Linked DNA regions of Mytilus edulis. The protein of the gene in region 3 purifies or fractionates together with the protein of the main gene of each other region. This does not show direct contact. Links are inferred from orthologs where the notes say so. Each region holds a gene or a part of one and is shown on either strand. Other genes may lie near its edges.

Region 1 (7,427 bases), on a different chromosome or scaffold from region 3:
ACCAAGCACCTAATATAACTATTTTGCAAGAAGGTCCCCATACACACGAAGAAGACGACACGGTTATAGGAGTCGATACAACATTACAGTCTTTGCGTAGTGCAATTCAACAAGACCCAAGCGTCCCAATAAAGCGGGTATACAACAACTTTGCGAGAAATGTGGCACAAGGAGGCGGGGATCGAGAACATATTCCTGAATTCCACAGAGTCCGTTCCGCAATGACACGAACTCGACTAGCTCACGTCCCCGCTGTGCCTCATGATATTGAAAACGAACATGGTCGGAAGATAGATTTCTGTTGTACAAAAACAATGATTGGGGTGTTCTGATATATGCAACACATGAAAACTTATTGAATCTTAGACAATGTAAAGAGATATATTGCGACGGGACCTTCAGAACTTGTCCAAGGCCATATTCACAATATTTTACCATTCACGGCCGGTACCGTAATAGGGTGATGTGTTTTGTAAACTGTCTAATGACTGATCGCAGTATTGGTGACTATAGACATATTTTAGAAACACTGAAAGTCAAAATTCGACAAATCACACGGCACAGATGGCGCCCAAGAAAAGTCATCTGTGATTTTGAGCTCGCATTGATATCAGCAGTAGAAATTAACTGAGCTTCCACGCGCTCAAATTAGTGGTTGCTATTTTCACTTCAATCAGAGTTTGTGGCGAAAAGTCCAGAACTTAGGTCTTGCGGCAAGTTACCGACGACGACCAGCAGTAAAAAGCCTAGTCCGTAAAGTTATGGCCATTGGATACCTATCAATTGCTGTTGTGCGCCAGAAATTTCGTTTGTTGAGAACATCCCGTAGAACTCAGAGACTCTGCAGGCGGTATAATGGACTAAGGGACTTTCTTGACTACTTCGAAAGGAACTATTTGAACGGGTTGTTCCCTCCCCAGATGTGAAATGTTTATGAAAGAGATATGAACAACAGAACAAACAACAGCGTTGAAAGTAAGTGTTATCTGTTTATTTCAAAAGTTAATCTGACGAGAAAAAGGTCTCAATTTAATAAACTTCACATTCAGAATATTTTTTACTTAAAACGATTTAGATTTAAATTTTCGCTTGGTATATATATAAATGCACTTATACAGTTAAACTGATATGAAGGGGTTCGGGGGGCTTTAGTATAAGGTTAAAAATTTCGTAATTTTATTTAATACACAATTTTTCGTTTATTCTTTAATTATTAAACATTCTTTTTCTAAAATAGTGGAGACCATTTTACCCCCCCCCCTTTTCCGGCTACCGAAGGTGTTAAATGATTTGATTTATTATGTATAAAATCACGTCAGTACAAGTATGTATAGCTGTAGCGTTTGCTTCTCCGTTCCATATTACGAATTTGGTTTTATGTTTAAGAAAATCTTAAAAAATATGAACATAAGTGCCACCAATACGTCTATATAAACATAAGAATATGTGATATGGTTGCAAACGGGACAACTCTATCTAAAACCTAATTAGGTAGTAAATTTAAGCAATTTAAGCCTTGACTCACACAGCAAAGTAAACTTTCAAGGGCTACAAAATGACAAGTGTAAAACAGTCATGTCAAACACAAAGACGTATTTAATTATGTATCACATATTTTTACTTGATATTAATAACACTGTTTCGGTTAGACACCCTTCTTTGTGGACTTTCATAAAGACCAACAAGCAACTTTGGAGAACTCCGTGGAGGCTGTCGATAGGGTATAGGGCGATCCAGCGCCGAAAAGAAAAAGAAAATGGCGAAATCTAGAAGCACGGATGATGAGATTGAAAGAGGAATATAATAATGGAACGAGAAATTTAGACCAATACTGGAACGCAGTGTGCTATGGAGTGGTTCAGTTTTGACACTTTGTTGTATTTTCTTTAAACATTGTGTAAATTTAAAAGTGAACTTTTTGATAAAACTATTTAGTTATGAAAACTACTGAATTTTTGCTGACAATTTGTGATATTTTTCAAAGATAAATAATTCCAAATTTGATTAAAGTGTTTTGCATATTTGATGAATGAAATGCATCACCAACAAATGCAAAAAAAAGAAGCACACACAGATTAGTAACACATTCTTCTTCTAATGCAAATACAAGAACTAAATGCCGTTACCCCCCCCCCCCCCCCCCCCAAAAGCAAAGAACAAAAGAAATGTTTGCGGTAACGCTATACCACTAAATTACACCAGGAAACGGACTAATTGGTACTGTATGTTTTTATTGTGTAATTTTTATCAAATCATTTGATTTATATTATAATTATTAAATGTTTATTTGGCCTATATCAATTTGATGATTTTGGTCGTTTTCAACTGATTTTTATCGTGCTTACACCACTGCTGTCTGAGGGAATCTTGGATCCAGAAAAAATGTTTAACCCGGCTGTGGATGAAATGAAAGACGATATGAAACCTGGGGATATTACTATCGATACAAATATTCACACTAATGCTTTTTATCGTTCTTTTTCAAAGATTTTCAGAAAATTGTGCTCTTTATATGCGACGTCATCAGGCAAGGTCGCCTTTTTTCATGACGTCACAATAGGAAAATTGAGAAGAAAACAAAACATTTTGACACAATTTTCTGAAAATCTTTGAAAAAGAACGATAAAAAGCATTAGTGTGAATATTTGTAAAACTAAAGTGATGGTTTTTAGCAAGAGAAAATCGAAAATGGATTTTGATTTTAAACTTGATGGTACATCTCTTGAAATTGTAGATAGCTATACATATCTTGGTCTTTTGCTTAATTATAATGGGTCATTTGTTTGTGCAAAGAAAAAGCTTGTAGAACAGTCGCAAAAAGCACTTTTTGCTGTTTATACAAAGATTAGAAATTTACATTTACAACTTAAATTGTTTGATTATCTTGTCGAACCTATTTTATTGTATGGATCAGAAATATGGGGATTTGAAAACATTGATATAATTGAAAAAGTTCATCTACAATTTTGCAAGAGAATTTTAAATGTGAGATCAAGTACTCCAAATGTCATGGTATATGGAGAATTAGGAAGGTTTCCACTAGAAATTAAAGTAAAATTAAGAATGTTATCGTTTTGGAGTAGAATGGCTAAAAATGAAAACAAACTTAGTAGTTCTATGTATAAGCTTATTTTCAAATTACATGCTGATGGTATTTGTGAATTTAAATGGGTGTCATTTGTAAAATCTATATTTGACAACTCAGGATTAGGTTATATGTTTTTTCAACCAATACATTGATTATTCAACTTTCAAACCCGTTATAAAACAGATTCTTCAAGATCAGTTTCTTCAAAAGTGGTCCAGTAATATTGATAACTCGTCTCGTGGCGAATATTATAAGTTATTTAAATCTCAGTTTGGTCTGGAAAATTATCTATTACGTCTTCCAGAGGATAAAAGAATCTGGATTTCAAAACAGGATTAGGGAAAAAATATTCTTGAGATACACAATTTATATATATCAAAAGTATTCATGGAACATGTGGAATACAACATTATACATGATAATACGAAATACGAGAGGAGAATGATTATACTTTTTCTGTTTAAATTTGACGACATTTTTAAAAGGATATATATAAAATGACAATTATGCTTCAATTTTAAAAAGATAAAAGATATGATAACATTTAGGAAAGGGCCCTTGTTAATTTGCAAATAAACGGCACAATTACGATGGTTAAACAATGTTTGAGGTAGTGGGCTTAATTTCTACAGAAGAATAAAACATAAATCAACTTACCAGTTTCACAAAGACGATGCTGCCAGTTGTCACATGTGTCACATTGAAGAGCATCTTGTCGAATCGTAACCGTCTTCTTGAACATTACAACGTGGACGAACCATGATTGCAATTGAAGATGATCATACATTTCACCATAGTTTATATATTTTTTCTCAAAGCTTGATTTTTACAACGTTTAAGCCATGCATTTTCTTTTCGGTGAGGATGGTGATTGTTTAAGTATAACTCAATGGCCTTTGATGTTCATAGTGCCGCACTCATACCGAATTTTTGTTTTCATTTACTTCTCTATGTTTATTCTACTTTTAACAAATCCATTCTATTTTTGTAGGTATGTTATCCACTAATGAGCACTGATTAGTATATTGTGTACTCATAATTATTTTAATGTGCATATCAAATGAATTGCCGTCTAAACAATTTCAAACAATCAATTCTAAGGAATACTAATGATTATAACGATTAGCATTTGATAAGCTTATTTAAAACAATTATAATTGCATTTTATTAACAATGAAAAGTTTATTTATATGTTGCTATATAATGATATATACGAAAGAAAGTTACAATAACTATGCATATAAACATGATAAATAATATCAAATAAAGCATGGGTAAGAGTTGGTAAAAATAGGGTACGAGTTGCCGAAAGTACGAGTTGTCGTGTACCCGACTAAAAAATCTAAACTGAGTGGTCTCCCTTTGCCATGGCGTCAAATATGTTTGGGACAAAGACATTTGGTGAAAAACCTCAAAAGTTTCAGATAGAGGAAGGCGAAGAATATTATTATGTCGGATCAGAAGTATGAAATTACATGTTGTTAAAGATCTCAGTCGAGAAAATTTCAGATTTAGTGTAAAAAAATCGTTTTTCTATCGAGAATCGTAGAGTACCCATGGCATAATTTATTTCTGTAACTGTTAGTGTTACTAAATTTGTGGCCTTCCTTATCTAAATTTCATTTATGGTTAGAGTTCGTTTAAGGGTAGGCATTTTGTCAGGGTTAGCACCCGTTAGACCCAAATTTGAATATTCTTGTTCTGTTTGTGACCCTCTGACACACAACCAATCCGTATGCAAAATTGAGATGGTCCAACAACAAGCTGCTCAGTATGTCTGCAAAACCAACATGAGTAGTGTTACAAACATGCTCACAACATGGAATTTACCATCACTAGCAGAATGGAATGTAAACTACACATAAGATTAGTTATGATGTACAAAAATCATGTTGCAATACAATGAGTTCGTGGTCTAGTGGTTAAGACCGATGGCTACAGTGCTGAAGGTCCATAGTTCGATTCTCACTCGGGGCGCTAAAAATATCAGTACGTCAGAAGGGTAATTTTCACCCTCTCACACACATCACTGGTACCCAGACCGGAGTTTAAACTAAAATGGGTACTTTGGGGGCCTCGGTTGGTCAAAGTTGTTCCCTGCTTGACTTCGAGATCAATCTTCTGATATCTCTCTGGTTTGTCTGTTTCCACCGAGTGGCCCGGTGGTTCTCTCCGAGTACTTCGGCTTCTTCCACCATAATAACAGACTTCCTGGTGTCCTAGCACTCCCTCGGTGTTGGATGGGGATTGAGTTGTCCTTGTAAAAATAATTGTCGTATAAATTATACGTTAGTGACACATCTCCATTAATCCCGATAGGGAGTGTACATGGATGCCACTGTACCCTCACATGTAAACCAGTCAGGGGACTTACTGAAATAAGTGATTTTTAAATCACTTATTTGAGTAGCAAATTCGAGGTTTTGTCACAAATTGGGATTATGTAGTTTTTTCAAAATTTGAAACACATAGGTTTAAATAATATCTTTTAATTAGTAAAATTTAAAAAAAATGAACTTTTTGCTTCTTTTAAGTAGCAAGGTTTATGCCTTTGATGCTATCATTTAGCTGAAAATTCTATTTTAGTTGAAAAAATGCTATAATAATGGCTTTACATAATGAACTGATACTTTCTTAAAAGATTTTTCCCAGCAGTGGGAGTATTTTTCCTGTGAAGTTCAAGGTTTCATCTTTCAGATTATGTAATAAAATTCTACTGTTCGCAATAAAAATTTCACTGTTTGGGGATGTTTAAATTAGTGGGGGTTATTAAAAGAATGATACTTAAAGAAGTGATTTTTGGGAAGGAAATTGAGGTCTGATACTTAAACAAGTGATTTTTATGTCATTATCCTAGATTCAGGACAAGGTCATCACCTGAAATGACCTGGTCATCCTAGACAACACAGATGTTGGTTCTGATAAGTTTAGAAACATAATTAGTCCCTGGATCATTAGTATTCTATATTTAAAGCTACAATAAAATTAAATCACTTCTTCTAGTGATTAATTTGTACTACTTAAATAGGTGATTATTAAAGAAAGACAACTCTAACTTCCAATCTTTATGGAAATAATGTTACTTGAATCAGTGATTTAGAAAATCATTTATTTAAGTAAGTTCCCTGACTGTAAACATGTAGAACATGCCTCATATCATAATTTCTCTTGCTGAGTTGCTGAGATTATATTAATGCTGTAAATAAACAAAACAGAGAACAGCTAAAGTGAGCTGTTCCCTGATGCTTTCAATGGATTGTGCCTGAACCAGTACCAGAGGGAGATCGTTCCACTGTGGTATTGTCATGAACTGAAATTATGAACATCTGTACAAGTATTTTGATGTATGAATATGCCTATATGAAAGTGGATGTTTTTTTTTCTAGTTCTTGGGTCTGCTTTTATGGGGGTTGCCCGGATATTCCGACACCCTGTTAGTCTGATGGAATACACCTTATTGCTTTTCCAACTTGACAATAGAGTGAGTCCCGCTTGAACATGTTGAACTTTTGACATCATACAAACAACCATTTTTTTCATTGTGGCATCAGATATTTCCTATAATGACATCTAAACTTTATGGGAACTAGTGTGAAGTCGAGAAATAAACGTATTTAAACTTTTGGTATTTAGCTGTATCTTGCCTCCGAATGACCTTAGATCGACTCAGAATCACCTTTTGACATCAAGCAACAATTACTTTATTTCAAATTGTGACGTCAAATATTTTAAATTATGATGTCAAAGTTTATTGGAACCTGTGTGATTTTACGTAATGGTGGACAAATTCATTTTGCATACAAGTGTAAATATGTCTATGGCGGACAAATAGCAATAAGGTGTATGTATGTATGTACTGGTAAATGCCTCCGATATCCGAAGAATCGAGGGGTTCTTCGGATATCGGAGGCATTTACCAGTACATACATACATACACCTTATTATGGAAAGCCAACGGGGTCAAAATTCTTAATTCGTAACTTGTCAATTCGTAACCGTTGTAACTGTGTAATTTCTAAATTGTTAATTCGTAAATTGTTAATTTGTAACTTGTTACTGTGAAATTCATAATGCTTAATTCGTAAATTGTCAATTTGTAACTTGCACCTTTGTAGTTTCAACATTCTTAATCGGTAAATTGTCAGTTTGTTACTTGTAACTGTGCAATTTCATAATGCTTCATTCGTAAATTGTCGATTTGTAACTTGTATCTTTGTATCAAAATTCAACATTCTTCATTAATTGTCAATTTGTAACCTGTAGATTTCAAAATTCTTTATTCATGTTATTGGTAAATTGTCTTTTTGTATATTGATGTTTTGTAACTTGTAACATGTGA
Region 2 (7,679 bases), about 78 Mb from region 3:
CACACACAACTCCAAAAAACATCATGACCCCATGTATTGTCCCTCGAATCAATCGGCTCCAACTTAAAAACAATGAGCTTTGTTGGTTAAACAGCATTATAGCTTCAAACATAAGGAACATCATCTGAAATAAATGTAAAAGAATATTAAAACATCGATCACTTGCATTAAATGTAGGGTAGACACTATCTTTCTTTATTTTACTTTCAACTCGAACCATATACTACTAAGGGGAGACATTTCTCTGTTATTACAAAATGTAGAGTTTTGAAGTAATGAATGATCATGAATAAAAGTAGACATTTTTTCCTCAAAAAATAATATTACTTAACTCATGCAAGCCAATATTTCTAGACAGTTAGTATCCAAATTACTTACAGCTATTGTCATTAGTGTAGGATGCCATGAAAATAGACCTGAAATTTAAAAAAAAAAAGATGTTCATCTAAAAAACAAAAACTATATACATGTATAAAATAAAAATAACTATTACAAAATTAAGTTATAGATTATAAACCATAAAATCAGAAGATGACCGATAATCCGTAAATGGGTGGACATTCCCTCTCTTTAGGAGGCAATTTTTATAGTTTATCCGTCTTTTCAAAATCGCTTTTTAAATAAAAGTTTGCTGCTGCATATTCATCAGGGATCTCCATGGATGAAAATTGAACGATGGAGGAACTTTCACCATCATAAACCGTATCTACGATGTACAGCGTAACGCGATCGAAAGTTTTTCATCCCTCCACATAAGGATAGGTGAACATGCTAATTCATTGCTTATTTGAATTATATTTATTTGAATTCTCATTATAAATACTATAGTATATAGAAGTATATATATTTTCAATAATTGCCATTTGTAACCCTTCAAAGGCAAGCCCTCATGCCCCCTCCCTTTCCCTTAGTCGAGAATGACCAATAGCTATCACAAAGGTCCCAATGTAGTTTTCTTGCTATTTTCGGTAATTGTTATGCGGGTTAAAATTCATGTGGAGCTTATTTTTCACGGACATTGTCAAATTCAGAATTCATGAACCCATTACCGGTATATATGGCTGGTTTGCAGCAACGACAACACGAGTCGTACGGGTTATGTAAAAGGTTAAAAAGATTTGTAAAGCGAACATTGTCAAATGAAAAGGTTTTTAATGACTTTATCTAGAAAAGCGATGCTATGCAACATGCATTTTTCAAGTCGGAATAGAAACCGGAAACGCGGATGTATCAATTTGATTGTAAACTACGAAATGAATTCGGAATTACGATACGATATTTATTTACAGGAAATATTAAAAGTTTTTACTTTTTAACCTTTAAAGTAATTCTATATTATCGTGACAATACAGCAGTACTCGAGTTATTTGCGATGAAATAATAATTACTGTTTTACGTCTTATTTTGAACTTCTTAAAAAGGGGGATGCTGATTGCGTAAGTCAAAATAAAAGCACGTGTTTTACTTGTTAAACTATGTAACTAGACTATTAATTTATTTATTTAATCTGAATTATCATAAGCATTTGCGGAAACTTAATTAAATAATTCGACAATTGAATCGTCTATCTTCAGATAATATTCTCCTGTCTGCTTTGTTGATCTACCTGTACAAGCTCAGGTACAAGTGATTAGCGATCTTAATCCGGATATCCCTCAGGCGTTAGAACTGGATTATACTATAAAGAAAGCCCGAAGGTTATGCAATTACATGCATTTGATTATAATTGCTAAAAAAAAATGACGTCAGGCTATAAAAACGATCACAGTTTTGACGATGGCGCAAGTCATTTAACGATGGCGCCAGACTTGGGGTAATTGTAATTGTAATCGTTAATCAGCTGTAATTGATTACAATTTTTCAAGTAATCAGTGTAATCATTAATCAGCCAAAAATCTGATTACATGTAATTTAATTTAATCAATTACTTTTCAATATACCCTGTAATCATGATTACTTTTTGATTACATTCTGATTACAATGAAAAAAATCTAAAATTGTGTTTTTGGTCATTAAATGAACCTCTTTGTTCATATTGGATAAATTTTTAACATACTAAAATGGTTTGGTTACTTTAAGCTTGTCTACTTCAGTAAAGAATAAACTGTTACAGTATTGAAAAGTCATCATTAGCCTAAGCAGAGACATATAATACAATTATATACCTTTTATCTTGGTAAAAGATATTGTACATACATGTATATTCATCATTTTATAATGATCTTCATATTGATATTTGATTATAACTGTTATAGATATATATTCAAGTAATACTTTTCTTTAACCCTGAATTATAATCTTTTGTTAATTTTTGTGATTTTTGTCAACTTTAAATTGACAGGTAGGAGACTAATTAAGGTTTGTTTTTATTGCAATTACCAATTGAGTATAGCTGTAGGGAAATATATATGATAAAAGATAAATCAGACATGAAAATTTATCTAATTAGCACAAACTAAATTAAAAGTTGGACAAATATGTTTTTAAACTTTTTTTTGTATTTGGACTGGACGTGTAAAATGCAATGGTTTTTAATAAATACTTTAATACATATTGTTTACAATTTGATTACACATTTCTATTAAAATTCAACATAGTTTTAACTGGTAACTTTATTTCAGCCATATTTAAACTGCAACTTGGAATACATATAAATTATGAAAGAGGTCAAAAGACAAACAAAAAAACTCTTGATTATGATATATCTTTATAAAATTTAATTCAAAATAATTTAGAGATCATTGGTGATAAAGTGTAATGTATATATATATGTAGTGAAATTTGGTGTTTATTTAACTAGATGACGTTTAATTTGAAGTTATCATTTTATAATTGACTCAAATAAAATATATTCTCAAAAATGCTATAGTTATATTAAACGTTTATTCATCCAAATCATCCAAATGTTTTGTTTTTAAATTTATTGTAATCAGATGTAATCATGATTACTTTGCCAATGTAATCATTAATTTAATCAGATACTTTCAGAAATGATGTAATCATTAATTTAATTTAATCGTACAAATGACAAAGTAATTGTAATTTAATCAATTACATTGAAAGTAATCGGACCCATCTCTGGATGGCGCAAGACATTTGAACGATGGGGCAAGTCATTTGACGATGGCGCAAGACATTTGAACGATGGCGGGGCACCATCGTTAAACAGGCCATGGAGATCCCTGATTCATGGTTTCTTTATGCTCCTCTGCAGACCTATAAATATATGTCTGATGTAACTTCAAATCACCAACACATATATTGATTGAACTGCAGAGGAGCAATTATTTTAATTCTATTTAAGAAAGTAATAATCCTATATTGGCTGAACAGACGTGTTAGTATATCTAAGCGTAGATGACCTCAATTTTAATCGCTACATTTATGGTGCCATGACCAGGAAACACACTCAAATCAATAAGATCAGGGAACAGAAGCATTTGATGACCTGAAAGGTATTTTTACCTTTGTTTTGATGAACAGTAATAATCAATCACAGAATAGATTTTCAAAACAACTCCATTTTTGACAGGTGGTAAAACTGAGGTGATTTTTGTCTTAAGGTTTATGTACCCTTCTGTAGCCATTTTTGTACGAATTTTTCAAACCTCAATTGTATCAAAACTAAAGATATAATAAATAATAGAGATAGGCCATTTAGTACATGTTCCAAGGGGAAACTTGATGCAAAGCATTATTTTTTACTGTTTCGTTGCATTTGATAGAAAAAGAGGACTTTGTGGCAAATAAATCAAGATTTTTATAGAAAATCCACAGCCTTTAATACAGAGATTTTTGTTATAAAATTTGAAACATAAATTACTCACTTGATTTTCTATGATGTGCTAGTGTTTATTTTTTACAAAAAGTTCTAAGTAACCTGTAAATTCCAAAACACCTCGTGCTGAGTCACTAAAGTCGAGCGCACCCTAAAAGGTGTACTTGATTTTGGCCATATTTATACTTGTCTTAACCAATAACTACATTTGTAAACTTGTTTTAAGGAAATCAATGCTTGCACTGCATGCAATAATCCTATATCTATCAGTCATCAAATTGCCAAATATGAGAGTACAAGGATAAAGGCTGTGGATTTTCTATAAAAATCTTGATTTATTTGCCACAAAGTCCTCTTTTTCTATTAAATGCAATGGAACAGTAAAAAATAATGCTTTGCATCAAGTTTCCCCTTGGAATATGTACAAAATGGCCTATCTCTATTATTCATTATATCTGTAGTTTTGATACAATTGAAATTTGAAAAGTTCGTACAAAAATGGCTACAGAAGGGTACATAAACCTTAATCATAAATGTTTACAGGAAAAGGGAAATTATAAAGTCTCTCTCATCTTTGTTTTAAAATAAAAATGGAGCTGTTAATACTTGAGCCTGGAACAGCCGAATATATCATAAATCCTGTAAAAAGGATAGTGGCAAAGTGTGCAACCATTTTTCAACTGTGAGTTTCAGCCACAACTCACAACTCCAAAACTCACTATCATGGGAAAGTGTTGATTTGAGACAAAAAGATACCTTTTCTAATGGAACTGTTTTAAAAAAATATTGTGTGCATATAAATTGCATTTAATCATCAATTGTTTTATTTTCGTTTAAATTTTCAAAGAAACAAGTAGTTTTATAAATTTTCAGTAGAAAAAACATTTATTTTGATTAAATTTCCCTCATCACCGCACATTGTAAACAAACACAAAAGTGAATCAGACGATGCAAGCATCACATTGACGCTGATGGACGGCGTCTGTCACAAAGAAAAGTAAGAAAACACAACAAATGATTACAAAAACAATGCAGAAAACCTAAATTTTGGATAAAATCTAGTTTCTAATTGATGATAAATATCCAAGCATCATATATTAGTAAATGTGCTTTACGGAAAATGAAGCAGTAATCCAAAAAAACAACCTATACAGGCTATAGTTTAGGCCTTGATTTCAAAGCATTTTTATTGTCATACAAGTTTGTAAGTTTTATTTGTCTTGTACATGTTTACAATAGACACAGTGGAATTCTGATGCTTGAGCTAAATGTACACGAATTCAATTATGCCCAGCATGATACTGTTCCTGATCCTGATCCTAAGGTCAATAATTGACACTACTGTTCTCTGTGTACTATCTTCCTCCTCTTATGGTACACCGTTGCTCGAGGTAATATCTCGCGGTACTTTGGTATACTTGTTTAGGCGCAGGATCGGGAATCAGGGATTGCAAGTTCTTGGAATCTCCCTGATTTTGTAATATATTCCCCTACAATTTGCGGTGTTGCTTCGTAGGTTTCTCTTTTTGGTGGTGCTAGTATTGACTGTATATTTGTTGGATCGATGTTAAGTAGTTCCATTTGTCTTCGCATGTCCTCTCTTTCTTGTTGGTATCTTGGGCAGTATAGCAGGAAGTGTTCTGATGTTTCTTCTTCTCCGCATTCACAATATGGCGTGAGGGATTGACCGATTTGGTTTCTGTATTTGTTAAGTCTGCTGTAGCCCGTTCTTATTTCTGACAATATTCTTCCTATTTGGTTGTTAGGCTTGTCTAGTTGTGCGTCCTTACCAACGATAGGAATTAGGTTGAAAAGCTGTCTTCCAGTTTCACTAATTGTCCATCTGCTTTGCCATTTGAGTTTTGTAGACATCTTGACTGCACATCTTACATCTGACATGGTTATGACATTATACTGATCATTTAGTGATGAGGCCTCTTTTGCAGCGTCTTTTGCCAACTGGTCCGCTATCTCGTTCCCGGCTATATTAGCATGGCCTGGGATCCAAGATAGGGTTGTTAGTATGCCGTGTCTTAAGAGCGTTCCCATGCATTCTTTGATATCAGTAATTGTGTCGATGTAGTTAGAAGATTTCCAGTTCAGAGTCAAGATGCCTACAGCAGTCTGGCTATCTGACAGTATTTTAAGCTCAGAAAACTGGTCCTTTATAGTCGTTATACAGTGCTCCAGGACCATTAGTATGGCTACTAGTTCAGCAAGAAGTATCGATCCTCTATTAGCTACTGGCCTCTTTAGACTTATGCCTTGGCTATTTCCAGAATATACTACTGCTCCTGCCCCACATGGTCCCGGGTTACCTTGACATGAACCATCAGTGAATGCCACTACTGTTGAGTCTGTGCTGTCTCCTAATAGGTCCTTTACAACCTGTTTACTTTCAACAGTTTGTTCGGCTGTTCTGTTCTTTGAGCTACCTAGACGACTCCAATAACTTGGTGATCTCCTTAGCATGACATCTACACCAGCTTTGTATGTGAATTCTGGTTCTATAAGTTTGATGTCAACTTTCGTGGCTTTGAACATGTCTATGGATTGGTTTATAGCTTTACCAAATGGAGAATCCTGTTGTTCATAGGTTGCGTTGTTTGTTAAATACTGTTCTAGTTGTTGTTTAATTGGTTCTGCTATGTTCTTTGATTGTATTTTTGCCAGTTCACGTACTGATATTTCCTCTATTCTGAGGTCTATGGGTTGTATGTTGGCTTCAACTTCCATTGCCTCTCTACCTGATGTTCCTGGTAGTCCTAGGCATATTGACAAGCCTTTTCTTTGTACAGCTTCTAATTTCTTCATATTCTCTGCAGATGTTATTTGCCAGACTGGGCATGCATACTCCATGATAGATCTAACCATGCTGTTGTATATTTGGAGTAGTTTTGATCTTGATATTCCTCCCATGCTCTTAATATCTCTAATTACATATATTGCATTATTTGCCCTCTTCTGCATCAGATTGATGTGGGTGTCAAATTTAAGCTTCTCGTCTAGAGTTACTCCAAGTAGCTTCGGTGTTGGACTATATCTATAGGAGAAGGAGTTGACTTTTAATGTTTTCTGCTCTGCATCTGTGTTGCCTTTTGAGAATAGGCATACTTCACACTTTTCCAGGTTTACATTAATTCTCCATTTTTCTGTCCATTTTAAAATAGTTTTGACATCCTCTGAAGTTCTTTCTTTCATTTCCTTTATGTCTTTCCCCTTATGCCATAAAGTGCCATCATCTGCAAACTTGCAATTTTCTCCTTTTGTGTTATCCATTATATCAGCTATGAATATGTTAAACAAGGTGGGTGATAGTACTGACCCTTGTGGCAAGCCGATTTTGGTATCAAATTGTTCTCCAAAGAAGTTATTCAGCATACATCTGGCTGTTCGATTTGTGAGAAAGCTGTTTATCCATAACCAGGTTTTTCCCTTTATCCCAAGTTGAATAACACTAACAGAAAAAATAACTATAACAAAAAAGGCAGTGCCAGTGTTTTCCATCTGCCCCCGCAGTTACATGTATCAGGTCCGCTCACACCCAATAGTCGATACACTTTAGCACCCGACACGTTCCCACCCTACACTTTCGCACCCAATTTTTATTGAAATTCCAGTTCAATTATTAGATATTTTTTTATATGCATTACCAATACAACGGTACCTCGAATGACCGAATAACACTGTTACTATCTGAATAACACTTGTAATGACCGAATAACACTTGGAATTTCAATTTTAGCACATATTGGTGACTTTTAAACATTGATTATTAATTAATGAGGGGGAGGACAGGGGGGTACCCTTCTCCTTTCTCCCACCCCTGTTCTCCTTTCTCCTACCCCCGTTCTCCTTTCTCCCATTAGAATAAAACATCTCCTTTTGAGATATTTTTTCT
Region 3 (7,902 bases):
GAAAAATAAGTGATAGCCATGCAACTTTTAAAATTAGATCGTGTGGATTTTTTAAAACGAATTTTAATAATAAAAGTAAATCATACAATAGAACATTTTTATGATTTTTTTTTTCTAAAAATACTTTAAACAAACATATGAAACTGACATGATCGATAGTGTATTAAAAATACATGTTTGTATTCTGACCTTTTTGCTTCATTCCAGCAATCATTTTCACTTACTTGTACGGTGGAAACAATAAAATGTGTATTGTTTTGTGACACCTAAAGAATGTGGAATGCGTAGTTTAACTCAAGGTAATTAAAAGATTAGCATTATGTAATTCTAATCTTTTGATCATCATTCAGTGAAATCTAGGCGTCACGGTTCACTGGCATTTCAGGTGTGAATAACATTTCGTATCAATTGTAAACGGGAGTCAGACAAAGTTTCAGACACATGAATGTAAAAAAAATTAATTAAAATTAATTAACGGGAATAATAAGATCGCACAATAACTGGATAGCTGTTGTATATTTTTTATATTTTGCACAAGATCACTTTTAATGAATTATGACTTTTGAATACTTTAGTAACGATAAAATACTGAATTATTTTAATTGAAGTATTTATAAATAAAAATAGCCTTCTAAACACGAGTTTATGAACTAAAAATTGTACTATTTCAAATTAGGATCGGCAGCCTTAAATATTTCAAACAGATCATTAACAATTGCAATTATATATTTTAGTCAATCCAAAGTGATCTTTAATTACCTATTTAGGAATTAATGTGCTCATCAAAATATTTTAAATCTCACAACACATGAATACTTCAGATATTTGAAAAAAAATGTTTTAAAAAATTGACAGGAAATAAAGGATCTAATTGGAATGGAATCAACAAATTACGAACAGATATGCTTTTCAAGTGTGAAAAACATCAACAAAATTTATACATAATCGGGAATGTCCTTCTTAAAATACTCTTCGTCTCACTCCGTAACTATATATAATACTTTAGCTATTTGACCAACGATGTTTAAAAAAAAATGAACGAATTAAATGTCATCTTTCCCTATTTTTTAATGTAATTATAAGTCTGTTTCAACTGGCCAGAATACCAGTAAAACGGACAAGCAGTTTATTCTGCAAACTGCTGTCATTGAATATCAAGAGAGAAAATAAATCCCGAAATTGATTTGAAACTTTGATACTCTATAGTTTTCCTGGAAAATATTCACATCCCTCGGTATTAGTGTACTTCCAGTTGCGTATATATATTACATACATGTATATTTTATAAATAAATTTCTTTTCACCAGAAATGTTATTCATAAACAAGCGTATGAGTTTAGTAATATCACTTTCGGACACGCAAGATAGATATGTATATTATACACCTAATAGTTCAAAATGGAAAGTTATAAGTTATCGGCCGTGTACACTTATCAATACACTAAGAAGTGAAACGATGCATGAATTTGCAAACTCGACAGGAAATCGCTTGAATACCTGGACGTGTCACCTCACACCCCCTCCAATACCTTTGGGAGTAATACCTTTAGCCATGCGGGTGATCAGTGGAGCGAAGATCCTAATTTATTTGAATAAAGTTTATTACATAAAAGAATTATGAACTAATTAGATTTTCGAAAACAATTCTAGTTTCACGGAAGACTTATTTATGATTTGAAATTTTGACTTTTTCACTAATTCCTATATTATCAGTCTAAAAATAACAGATCCTGGTTATTTAAAAAAAAAAAAAAAAAAATTTCCGTATCAAGTTAGTTAACTAGTCGGATAAAACAACCGTACGATTGACGAGCTATCGACACGCAATTACGACTACATCGGGTTACTGTAGTTTTGGTCCTTAGACATATCTTGACTGCAAATCGGAGAAGGTGACAAAATGGCCGACCGCAGAGAATTGATACTCTAAATTTAAAATCGATGGTGATCTCTTATCTAGCAGAATAAAACTTTAATATCTATGAATTTGAGAATTTTTATACAGAATAAACATAATATCAATTTTTGATTTTTTTGCGAAGTTTCCCTTTAAGAGCCTTATTATAAAGTTCAGTTTTAGCTAGATGAAAACTTCCAGAAGCAGTAAAGTGAACACCTAAATATTTGTAATGAGCGACACAGTCAATCAAGTTATTCTGCAGTCGAAAATTCTCCTGAATTTTCCTTCCAGCCTTATTAAAAATTATGACTTTAGTCTTTCTAATATTAACTTTCAGGCTACTATATTATCCGCTACGGCACGGGCATTAAAACACTTTGATGCACGTTTCTATATCTATTTATTTGAAATAAATAATCTGAATTTCTTAAGGCTTATAAGTTAGTTTTCTTGTCCCTAAATTAGTCTTCTTGTGCTAGATGAATCTTCTTGATCATGTTGATGTTTCTTGTCGTTTCTGATAGCTTATTAATAAAACCCCAGAAGGCAGCACATATAAATTTATAATTTGAACCTTTTTATATTATACAAAATGTATGATCACAAGTTAAGTAGGGTAAAAGAATATAAAATTATAACAATGAATAAAATTCAACAAATCATTTATACAAATTTGTATTCTATATGATATGATATGAATATTTTTGAATATTGCTGAAAAATATTTCTGAATTTGATAGTATGACTTCATAATCATATACTGTACACATTATTATAACTACGATGGAATAGAATGATGTCTATAAACATAGATGGCTAAATCACAATGGTAGTTTCAATGGAAATATTTCCACCAAGAAGAGAATCGACACCACAGACACGAACAAAGAACCGACTTTACAACACACATAAATCATTAAATTGTGTTTAACGATCATAAATAATTAGAAACCGCGCCAAAGACTAATCCAATACACAAGTAAACTTACCGGTGTCTGTAAATAAAGGTAAATTCTATAATTAGGTCAACAATAATCAAAGCATTTGTTGAGTTGTCGATGGCTTTATTTTCTATGCGCATTCATCTGACGCAAGTCACTTCAACCTTGACCTCAAAAAAAGGTTAAATTTAAAAGTTGTCTCCCATTGAAACTTCCGGCGTCCATAGAAGCGGTTCATTACAAATATTGCTACATTAATTTGCCTAAAAGGTAACATTTAGATTAATATATAACTGTTAGGATTTGAAAATTTTATCAAAATTCAACAGTTTATCGCCGTTTATTCACGTTAAGCACAAACACTTTGCAAATAGATTTTAAACTTTATTTGATTTTTGTTGGGTCTGCATGTTGTAACTTGCACGATTTTTCATTGGCATCTCCTCTTTACCGACTTCACACACAAGCAGATTCGTCCCCTAGCGTCTCCAAATGAGTATTCAATTCGACCATCTATTTGTCCCCCCAAAGTAACACTTTAACAGGATCTCCTGTAGTTGGTGATCGCAATACACCTTATCGCTATTTGTCCGCCATTACTGGACATCACACAGGGTCCCGTAAAATTTTGACGTCATAATTCAAAATATCTGACGCCACAATGGAAAAGTGATTGTTGTATGACGCCAATAGTTCAAGCGGAACAGATTCTCGGGTCAAGCGGAAATAGCGATAAGGTGTATACTGGTATACCAGTATTGTCCACAATACTGGTATAAAAATTTTGTACCAGTATTGTAACTTTTTATTAAAAAAACCAGCAATACTCGTACATTACTGATATACCAGTATTGTAGTTGTATTGTTGACTAGACTATATTGAAGATCAAAGGGATATTAAATGAACTCAAAAAGATTATAGAGGATAATACATACCTGCCAACTTTTGAAAGTGTCCATGGGGGTTTTAGCGCACGACAACAATTTCAAAGGTTACATTAATACTTTGCGACAACTATTTTGAGTGTGCTGTTTTGTGGTCTAGAAAAAGTGTCATATTTGTGAGATGAGCTTACATGCCTTTTTCTTAATTTTATTTGCATGATTCTAGTTATTATATATCAGTAGAAAAGATGAACATGTGGCTGCAAGACCAGGAATTAATTTCATGTGTAAGGATATTAAATAATTGTTTACTTTTCCAATTTAAAATTATGCACAAAGAAGGACCTTTATCAGGTTAGGAACAACACTTAGGGGTAACCCCTCAATGTAAGGACATTAAAACCCACTTTTTAAGTAAAAATGAGCACATATATATTCATATTATTTGAAGAAACTTTTCCCAAAGAACTATACATCTTATGATCTATCTGGTATTATACAGTATGGTCAACACATGTCCAAGAATTTTGATATGTTCTTGGCCTTATATCTTCTATATTTTCAAAATAATTGGACCCTTCATTTAGAAAGTTGTTCTAAATATAATGTCAGAATTTCCCAATTTTAGGTTAAAAAATCTACATTTTATGATTTTTCTATTTTATTTTTTACAAGAGTAAAATGACCCCTTGACTAAGAGAAGTCCCTCATTTAAGAGATTTCCATGTGGGGGGTTTTGTTTTGTCCATGTGAAAAATAAAGAACAGTACATTGTACTTTAAATAATTTGGTAATTTAATTGAATACATAAATTTATAACATTTGTTACAGCAAGTGTAATATCAATAAATTAGTGAATAAACTAGTATTTATTATCTTTATGGTAGTACTGCATCATTGTAGTTTGTCAATCAGTCATGCTTTTATTCTTATTTTGTGTAAAAACTTCCTTGCAGGTGAAAAACCATTTGCCATGTTCACGATTTGAACAAACAGAGGAATACAACACAAGTTCAAAATCTAGGATGTTAGAATATTCTTGAGAGAAAACTTTTTTGATTGGCTGATTAATTTGATCATGAGAAACATAGAATTTGATTGGCTGAACACAATTGTATTCCATTGTACACAGTTCAAAATCGGGAACAGTCATATTTTTCGTGTTGATTTTCACAAAATCGTGTTTTAGAGGGTTTTTCACGATCACGATCGTGCAATCGTGACAAAGGGTCAAAATCGTGTAGTACACGCCTAAATCGTGAAAGTTGGCAGGTATGATAATAATTAATTGTGAAATCAATTAACAACCAGTTAAAAGTCATTACTATACTTGCACAAATAAACAATTGCTAATAATTTCATCATATTTCTATATTTTATATAATTTAATATAGATAAAATAAAATAAAAGCTTATTATCATCTGAGTAATAATTCAAGCAAATCATTAGACTCGAACACTGTAAATTCAGCATTTACATGTATGCCATCACATATTTGACAGATATTTTTATACATGTATACATTTTTTGTCTACTAAGATCATATGCATTTGTTTTTCTTTATTTTCTTATTAATTTTTCACAACAAAAGATAACTATATTATTCATTAATTGTAAAAAGTTGCTTTATAGGGGAACCTTGTTATAATCAAATTTACTAGTTTGTCTACATGAATGTTAAGGGTTGAAGCAGTTGATTCAGAACCATGGACAATACAAATAGTAGCAGATACATGTATATCTACTGGTACAAATACTAGACCAGCATTTTGACAGTAAGAGAGCTGTACAAATGCTATCTGAAATAGCTTGTAATCTAGTAAGCGTTAGAGAAAGTCCACAGAGAGTGAATACCTAAATACCAATATAGGAAGGGGGAGGGGTTACAGAAATCACATCTGAAGAAGAAATAGACAATACCAATGCTAATGATACAGAAGCTATAACAGCATTAATGTCAATATAAAATTCACTAAAATATACTTCATGAATCTTGGAAAGAGAGAGATGAAAGAAAAAATAGAAGAAAGTACAGAGTTTGTTAAAATGCTGAGACAGAATGGTTAAGAAAAAAACATCAGAAGATTTAAAACTTTATTCGGTACCACGATTTCCTGAGAAATACGAAAAAAACATTATATCCTGAGAACAAACTAATGTATCCCGAGAAAAAGATTAGTTATGGTGTTATGCTACTTTTTATACATGTTATAGTGTTAAAGGGAAAATTCACGATTTTTTACTTATAGTTTAAATATGTTCATTATGACATAATATATATATTCACAAAGTTTTATCGCTATATGTGCAGCAATAAAGGAGAAATTCAATAATTAATGAAAAAATATTAACAACTTCCTGTAGGTCGTGACGTTTTCTCCTGGTTTTTGCATGCCGGGATTTAAAATACAATCAATAAAAGTCTTGGTTTTTAATGATATTTTAACGTAATCGTAAGCGCGCCGATGACTTATGCTTCATCTAATAACCAGCCGATAATAAGAAGATAAAACGCACAGACATCCAATGTACATATTCATGAGATAAATTTTCTATGTTAATCGTATATATCCGAATTAATTTTTTAGACAACACAAAAAGTTATAAATTTATTTTTGATTAATGCATTATCGGACTGATAAGGTGAACAAATTAAAGTACAATAATCTGTAAAGACAATATGTTAGTGTACTCTTATTGACCTTTTACTGTCTCTGCTATGACTAGGTTTATACGATGTGTGTATTCACGGTTCTGTGGCAATACTCGTAGATGGCTTGTTTAAAGGTAAATTGTTATTTGCACTTCGGTATTTAACCACGCCTCTAGGGCACACCTTGCCAGGTGTGACTGTCTATTGGGATTAGTGGGTTATAAAACAAGGGAGCATTTAATACACACATTTAAACTACATATTCAAGTTGGTGACAAATGAAAATAGATCGCCGTGGAATTATTTAATTATATTTGGTGCTATTATTTATTTGAATTCAAATAAATTAATTTACTAAGAAATAAACAATTTTCGGTTAAAGACGGGAAACTTAATTCATGTGTCAGAATGAAATGATATACACCTCTTGTCCTTGATTTATGTCTCATAAAAAAGGGGAACTTAGAAATTAGAAATAGCTTTACCAAAGCATTTTGATTGTCTTTATCAGGCCAAAAAATGTACGAGAACACTTACATTTAGACTTTTGAAACCCATGTATTAATTAATATCTGAAACTATCTGAAGACAACTCTACCGAAGCGGAATATAATATGTACGAACAAAGAAAAAATACTTTTGTTTTTAAATCTTTGCACATTAATGATTAATGATTGTTATCTATTGTTCATTTAATTACTTAATTAGTACCTAAAATATGTCTACCGCTTGGCATTTAATCTTGGTGTGGTAGGAAACGATTATTACATATAGATTATATTATTTGGATGAGGATTTGAGCTAGCCTATAAAAACACATTAATTAGTTAACATACATTCGAGACCAAAGGATATTAACTTTGATAATTCAATTAACTTATTCACATATTTTTCTCTTATGATTTGTGCGTGCTTGTTTCTATAGGACAGTGTATATATGGTCCAAAAAATAAAATCATAACTAAAAATATCTTGTTCGGAGAATGATAGTACTAACAGTGGTTCCAGGTCGTCAAGAGAGGTAGCTTTTGACGAGTATGGTCAATTTGGGTACGCACTAGAGCCAGAGTATACCGAAGAACAGCTTTATGAAATGGAAGCTGCAGAAAGTTCCCGAAATCAAGATATCCTTAGCAACCCTCGCCATTTTGGTAAACGGACAGAAAGTCACAGGACAAAAAGTCACAGGACATAAAGTCACAAATTTGATAGGACAAAAAGTCACAGGACAAAAAGTCACAAATAATTTTTTTACAATTTTTTGAATATATAAGAGAAATATCTTGAAATACTTACTTTTTAATACATAATTTCATATTAAAGTCAATGAAATTTATCATTTTACTTGAGAAAAAAAAGATTTATTCAATTTTAATCATGCAAAGGTCATATTTGTTGGCACCATGAAGCCATTTAAGTGCCAATCTACCTCGACATTTTGTTTTCTTAACAATTATTTGATCATCTTTGCTATTTTTTTGATAACTTTTGCTTACAAAGCTGGTTCATATACAATACTTCA
Region 4 (6,965 bases), on a different chromosome or scaffold from region 3:
GAGAGTCAATATAATCTAAGTTAACAGTTCGATATAACGTTTTGACCGAGAACGTTAATGATTTTGCAAGAATGATTTTATAAAGAGGCTTTTTACATTTTATTGAAAATTTCCATATTTTTTTTAACAACTTCATTGATTGTTGCATTAGCCTTCATGTATTCTTAGCGTCTGCATTCAACATAAAGCTCATGGGATTTCCTGATAAACTTGCAAAAGTTTTCTTTTTGTCTGCTGCGGCGCCGGCTTCCTCTATGGTTCAGTGTTACTGTAGTCATAAATGAAAGACATCATTCACAGTGCCTGGCACATCTGTTGTTCCTCAATGTACTATCTTGGTTCCAGTCTTGTTACTTATATATATATATATCAATGACCTGTCAGTATTGAATTGACCACTTACTAAGAAGGCTGGGTTTGAGGACAAGGAGGCTTTAAAATTATACTTTTGGTAACAAATCATCATTGGTTATGATAAATGAAAATGAAAGAGGACACTGACTGACATCCTGACTTTTATTATCACTGGACTAGTATATATTTGTTTAGGGGCCAGCTGAAGGACGCCTCCGGGTGCGGGAATTTCTCGCTACATTGAAGACCTGTTGGTGACCCTCTGCTGTTGTTTTTTTATTTGGGCGGGTTGTTGTCTCTTTGACACATTCCCCATTTCCATTCTCAATTTTATTTTAGACTATATATAATATAATATATAAGAAAAATGTAAGTAAAGAGAGATTAACAGCTTCGTTGCTTTCTATCTAGATAAATGTACTGTGCTATCCGTCAGCTAAAAGAAACAACCCATTTAGCATGGCTACATTCTACATAATCGATCGTACACTAGAATATGTAACCTCTGCTAAATACCGCTGTACCATATACATGTAGTACAGTCATACCTCGAAAGAGAAACACATATATAGTTGATATTAGACAATATACGTATACCGTGTCTTGAAATGTGAAATTTATTTGTATGAGGCTTAGAAACGGGAAAATGCGAGGTTCTATCATACTGAAATCGATAAAAAAAAAAAAAAAAAATAATAAAAATATGAAACAAACATTTGAAAAAAAAAGTGTTGGGAATTTCCCCCTTGGGGTACCATTTTTGGGTATTTCCCTATGAGCGTAGTCTAGGCGGTAAGCATTGACAATTTAAGGAATTAGAAAGGGAAAATGAATTTAATTAATAATATTTGATAAACATGGTATATAAATTACCAATTTGAAGACATAACAGGTTTAAATTCATAAAATTTTGACCATTGTTACTACATGTTGTCATGGTTGCGACGTGAAGTTGTAAGTAGGCGGGGCTTATAGGTGAGTTGAGGTCATTGACGTATAAAGCTAACGTTTATACGTATAGCTTTATCTGTATAGTAAAATAGCTGATTGCAGTATAATATATCATCCTACAGTACCGCAATAAATCAATGTGGTTCCGTAAACATAATCTGAAAACACAAATCATCGCGATTTAAAACCCAGGGATATCAAACACTCGTTCTGTCAAAACTTGAATAGTCTTGTTTTGCTCATTTATATACAACAGAGAACCAAGTCGTAACCCGAAATTGAGATGGTCTAAACATATTCACCACAATAAAATTAACGTCACTGACAGAAACGTATGCTGTATTCATCATACAGCCTCGTACTATAAACATGTAGCTCAACTATACTTGTGACCAGGATTGTTGATTTTGAGTTGCTTAATGTCCACTGGCAAATATGTCATGCATGTCCTGGACAAGCAACAACCAGGAAACCCGATTCACTCACACACAAGAACATGCAATGACTCATACAGACACTCATACTCTTCCACAACACAATACCTTCCTGTATTACTTGTTTAGGCTACAACAGTCTTTGATATCTTAAGTGAACAGCTCATTTCTACTTTTCGCTATCCTTGTTAAAAAAAAAAGCTTAAAACCAGATGGTATATAGTGTTTGTAATTTGATCAGAAAAATGTCATTTTCATTGCATTAATAAGGTAGATATGGTGTCTTCCTCCATCTTGGATTTGGAAATACCAGAAAACAAGGTCTAGATCTTTAATAGAATGTGCAAATTTTTAGAGTAGTGGGTATTTCATGCGTAAGAACTTTCATTTCAGTATGGTTGTATTTTACAAAAAACAGAAAACTTTTGTTTGATAAATTTTTTTCCAACTTTGCCACATAAGGGAAGGCAACTCAAATGCAAGGACAGATTATTCAGATTTTACAATAGAATGTGTTAGGAATTTACCTTTTTTTTTTAATATAGCGAAAAAACGGGTCCGGTGATCCCATTTTTTTCATTACTTAACTGAAAGCATACTATTAAAGCTATCTTCTCATATGTTATCTCAAAATTCTATGGTGTAGTTTACGCTTTATTGCAGAAAATTGGGTTTTCCATACATAATCTATACAAAATTTGTCAATTTTGAACACCATGTAGCGGGAAAATAAGCCCCGTGACCCATTCTATTTTTTTTTTAAAGCATGATTTAGACTATATTTTGGCAAATTATTAAAAAAATATATGGATTGTAATTTAGACACCCCATCTACCTTAAATAACTATTTTCTGTTTAATTTGGAGTGAAAAACCCATGGATGCAACAGTTTGACATCACCGAATGTCGTAACATACTATATAAATAAAAAGACACAGTTTGAGTGGTAAATTACAGAATACTCAATACAGCAATACAGGATATGATCTTTCAATCAGTTTAAATGAGATCTGGTGCTTGCATGTCAGTAATTGCTAGAAGTCCTTTGTTAATTTTGTATCATCGTCATTTTGCTTATAGTTTCTTTTGCTGCCTATTCTGACATCGGACTCCGACTTCTTTTAAACTGAGTGTTTACTGAGCGTATTGCTGTGTGTTTGTTCAATTTACATTGGCTAGAGGTATAGGCCGGGGTTGAGATAATAGTTATCAAAAGTACCAGGATGATAATTTTATACGCCAGACGCGCGTTTCGTCTACATAAGACTCATCAGTGACGCTCAGATCAAAATAGTTAAAAAGCCAAATAAATACAAAGTTGAAGAGCATTGAGGATCCAAAATTCCAAATAGATGTGCCAAATACGGCTAAGGTAATCTACTCCTGGGGTAAGAACATCCTTAGTTTTTCGAAAAATTCAAAGTTTTGTAAACAGAAAATTTATAAAAATGACCATATAATTGATATACATGTTGAACCCCGCCGCAATTTTTGAGCTTGTCCCAAGTCAGGAGCCTCTGGCCTTTGTTATTTTTTTTTTAATTCTAGTTCATTTATATGCATGTTTAGAATTTAAGTATGACGTCCATTTTCATTAAACTAGTACACATTTTATTATAAGCCAGTTGAATTCCGAGTCTTGTTCTAAATTTGATGTCTTAGAAATGGTTACTCCTATTGTAATACATTATGTTCTATATTATTCAGATTTAGATATTGTCGTACATTGATATTTACCATTTGATACATGTCCAACACAATATGTTTATAAAATTCCATTAGTCTATTATATTGTGATTTTTTTTGTTAATGATAATGTAATAAAAATAATTTAAAAAAAACTGACTTTGTTTTGACATGGTAAAATTTCTTAATTAATATGCAAAATGATACATTATAATTCTATACATATCAGTAGTAACGAGAAATATACATTATAAACATGCTTATGACATATGTGATAGTTTTAACCACTTAGACTTTATTGGAGCGAGCTAAGTTGAGTTGTAAAAAATCAGAGTCACACATGATCAAAAACCGATTAAAAAATATTAAGTTGAGGAAGATCGCAATAATCAGATTTCTGAGATTTTTATTTTTATTTTAAATATATGCCGAAATTTAACATTTAAAAGTGCCGAACAATAAATGGGGCGAAACACTATCTTTATACATCATCTGAAGACCGAAAATATATATCTTGTGGTAGTTAGTCATTTCATGGTCACGAGAAAAAACGAGATTTCAATTTACCAAGCGAAGCCGACAAAGAAAATCAAATGCAGCCACAACAGCGGTCGTTCCCAGCACAGGGACCACCAATGAGACCATTTCCCCAGCCAGGTTATTCCCCTGTATGTATATCTTCTTGTCAAAGATTAGTGAGATAAATATACATGTGTACAACTATGAAAGTTAAGAACAAAACAAAAAGGGGGATGGTAATGCTTAGACTGTATATCACTTTTTAGAGGGAAATACTTTATTGCTTTATACATACTAGGTATCACAAAATTAGGACCATGCAACTGATAATGCTTATCAGTCGTCAGTTATGGTGCTGTCTGATGTACAGTATAGTATACACACTCCAAAGACTTATGGCTTTACTTTGCCTGTGGTTAACTCTTATAACAAATAATGGGTTTAATTACAAGATAATCCATTTCCCCATTTAAATTTAGTCACAAAAGTCTCGTGATAACGTCAGAATTTATGCAGTATTGAGATAAATACAGCAGCACTCCATGAAAATATCAACATACATGTATTCAAGTTGTCATAATGATCAACTTACAGTTGGTTATATGAAGGTGATGGAGTCAAACATAAACTAACTGTTATATGTTAAATATGTTAAAATCATAACATTTGCTTAATTAACCTGTGTAAATAAAAAAAAGCATGCATATAGAAAAATGATTAAATGTTAAGAAACCATTTTTCTTATCTCCACTTATGCACAACCATAAGTTTCCAAAACTCACTTGTATAATTAATTTGTGTGAACATATTCACAACAAACTTTCATTTCATGAAAATTTCTTAATGATTGATATCACCCTCAAGATTTTTGCGACTTACATTTGTGTCCAAAATTAGGGAAACCTATGTTTTCACAGATTTTAAATGTCTGGGGATTTCATGCCTAGCTACATGAAGCTTCTTAAAATAGTTCATCAGTGATCGGGAAGGACGTGCGCCCTTCGCCTATAGCGCATATTGACAAGAAATGGCGCATATAGTGACAAATGTAAGCGCCCACGTGGCGCAAGATATTTTTCACTTCATTCTGATCCGTTTAGATATCGTCAAATGGATTTCTGATCGTGTTCTGTGCCGCCATGTGTGTGTGTACACAACTGTGTAATGTTCCTCCAATAATAGGAGCACCTATATATTTTTGGGACGTGTTGGGTGTTTTCCTATGATAATAGAACCATGCGGTTTAACGTCTCGTGTGTTTTCTTATGGTCATAATAGAACAAGCAATAGCCTTTCAAAAAGTGCTATATTCGACTCTTAGCTGATGAAAATTGAAAGAACTCTTGCTTTGTAGATTAATTCATTTATTAGAATAGCCACGTGCATCAATCAACAAATTTTACCACACACGTGAGGTCACACGTTATGAACTTGTAGTATCGTTTAACGTTGTTGTTTACTCCAGAAGGTTCGTCTATTTATAGATAAAAGTTACCTGTGTAAAATCTAATTGCTAAAATAGAGACGACAAATCCGATACTCTACGGGATTGAAAGACATTTACTAGGTTTGGATTGTCCTAACCAATCAATAAATTTTGATTATTCAAGTCTCGTAATATCTTCCAATCAGGTAGCAAGAAAAATTCACGCCCTAAGTGTCCATCGTTCAATTCTTAATATCGATTCCTAGGAGTCCATAACCATGCGGTCTAACTGATAACCCCAAAAACGTAATTAACCATCATTCATGATATAATTTTTTATAAACAACTTTAAAATTTGTGAAATTTGGCTAGTACTGACGAGATTTAACTCTAATAATAATCTCATTTGGTTTAGTTTGCTTTTATTTCGATTGAAAAACCCCAAAGCCTTTTTATGAATACAGTTTTTGTCTCCATAAAAGACGATAACTGTCCTTGTCATTTTTTGGTCTTTGGCTCATTTTGATATTTTGTAAGTAGACTTCAGCGAATTGTTGTTTTGTTCTATGAATTAATGGTACTCTCTACTGTTATTCTTGTCACCGTGATGAAGTTATAATAATACAAGAAGTGCAGAGGAAATGCCTGAAATGTCCTCTGATACGGAACGTCTGGAATAAGTATGGTATCGACGAAGACCCAAATTTAATGTACAAAAAAAAACCATGAACATGAACAAGGCAACAGTACCAGTTTAAACATTGTAAATAAAGGTTAACTTAAATATTATATTGTTCGATTTGGAAAACGTTATTGTATATTCATTGAAATTGAAATTACAAAATCACAGGAGCAACATTCATGATATTATTCGAAATCATAAAGGTATAAGTACCAACATCTATTTGCCAAAATATACTGATACTTTTTCTTTTTTTACAGAAGTCAATTCAAATGGCCCACTCATTTTACAACATGACCCATTATTTTTTTAAATGGCCCATTGAATTTATTTTTGAAGGGCCCTGGGCCCATAGCGAAAAAAACCTTCCAGATCACTGGTTCATGTGATTAAAAGAAAGATTTTATACCAAGGAATACAGTTCAGTTTGAACCAACCAGTTTGTCAATGATGCAGTGCGAAAGTAATTTCATTTTGATAAAATTTGCTTTAAAATGTAGCCAATGATCATGATTATACATGTATCTAATATAATGCTGTCATAATTTTTTTAATATGGAAAATGGTAAAACATTGGATTTGAAATTTTAAATTATAAATTTATGCTTGGATACAAGACAGAAAATTATATTTCTGAAGTTAAATAAATTGTTGAAAGATTATGGGTCTAACAATGTATTTTTTTCTATTTTTGTCCTACATGTTCATGTAATGTCATGTATGTGTGTAATGTTTATCTTATATATTTTACATTTTTGTACTTACCTTGGCTTAGCATTTTATGACAGTGTATAAGATCTAGAAGTCTTTATAGAGTTTCATATGGTCTAATTGTTCCTTAAAGGGAAACTTCGCAAAAAAATCAAAAATTGATATTATGTCCATTCTGTATAAAAATGCTCAAATTTATAGA

The links.
Region 1: the proteins of probable global transcription activator SNF2L2 (region 3) and SWI/SNF-related matrix-associated actin-dependent regulator of chromatin subfamily B member 1-A-like purify together in Drosophila melanogaster (affinity purification with western blotting; 7 studies listed by BioGRID, with this or other methods). This does not show direct contact. The link is inferred for Mytilus edulis from reciprocal best matches to the Drosophila melanogaster genes brm and Snr1.
Region 2: the proteins of probable global transcription activator SNF2L2 (region 3) and protein polybromo-1-like purify together in Drosophila melanogaster (affinity purification with western blotting; 3 studies listed by BioGRID, with this or other methods). This does not show direct contact. The link is inferred for Mytilus edulis from reciprocal best matches to the Drosophila melanogaster genes brm and polybromo.
Region 4: the proteins of probable global transcription activator SNF2L2 (region 3) and SWI/SNF-related matrix-associated actin-dependent regulator of chromatin subfamily D member 1-like purify together in Drosophila melanogaster (affinity purification with western blotting; 8 studies listed by BioGRID, with this or other methods). This does not show direct contact. The link is inferred for Mytilus edulis from reciprocal best matches to the Drosophila melanogaster genes brm and Bap60.

The regions. Positions count from the first base shown.
Region 1 is NC_092349.1:8,148,000-8,155,426, forward strand, and holds the start of SWI/SNF-related matrix-associated actin-dependent regulator of chromatin subfamily B member 1-A-like, read left to right. Parts: upstream 1-4,420; 5' UTR 4,421-4,455; coding exon 4,456-4,551; intron 4,552-7,427.
Region 2 is NC_092344.1:83,201,522-83,209,200, forward strand, and holds the start of protein polybromo-1-like, read left to right. Parts: upstream 1-4,660; 5' UTR 4,661-4,775; intron 4,776-5,200; coding exon of another isoform or gene 5,201-7,057; intron 7,058-7,679. Other genes in the region: transmembrane reductase CYB561D2-like, read right to left, coding at 1-124, 379-416, 4,483-4,585; uncharacterized protein, read right to left, coding at 5,201-7,057.
Region 3 is NC_092344.1:5,668,216-5,676,117, reverse strand, and holds the start of probable global transcription activator SNF2L2, read right to left. Parts: upstream 3,011-7,902; 5' UTR 2,890-3,010; intron 1-2,889. UniProt on the Drosophila melanogaster protein: Transcriptional regulator. Acts as a coactivator, assisting one or more dedicated transcriptional activators of ANTC and BXC homeotic gene clusters. Can counteract the repressive effect of Polycomb protein.
Region 4 is NC_092345.1:21,238,186-21,245,150, reverse strand, and holds the start of SWI/SNF-related matrix-associated actin-dependent regulator of chromatin subfamily D member 1-like, read left to right. Parts: upstream 1-3,938; 5' UTR 3,939-4,018; coding exon 4,019-4,093; intron 4,094-6,965. UniProt on the Drosophila melanogaster protein: Involved in the recruitment and site-specific anchoring of the Brahma complex at specific promoter sites.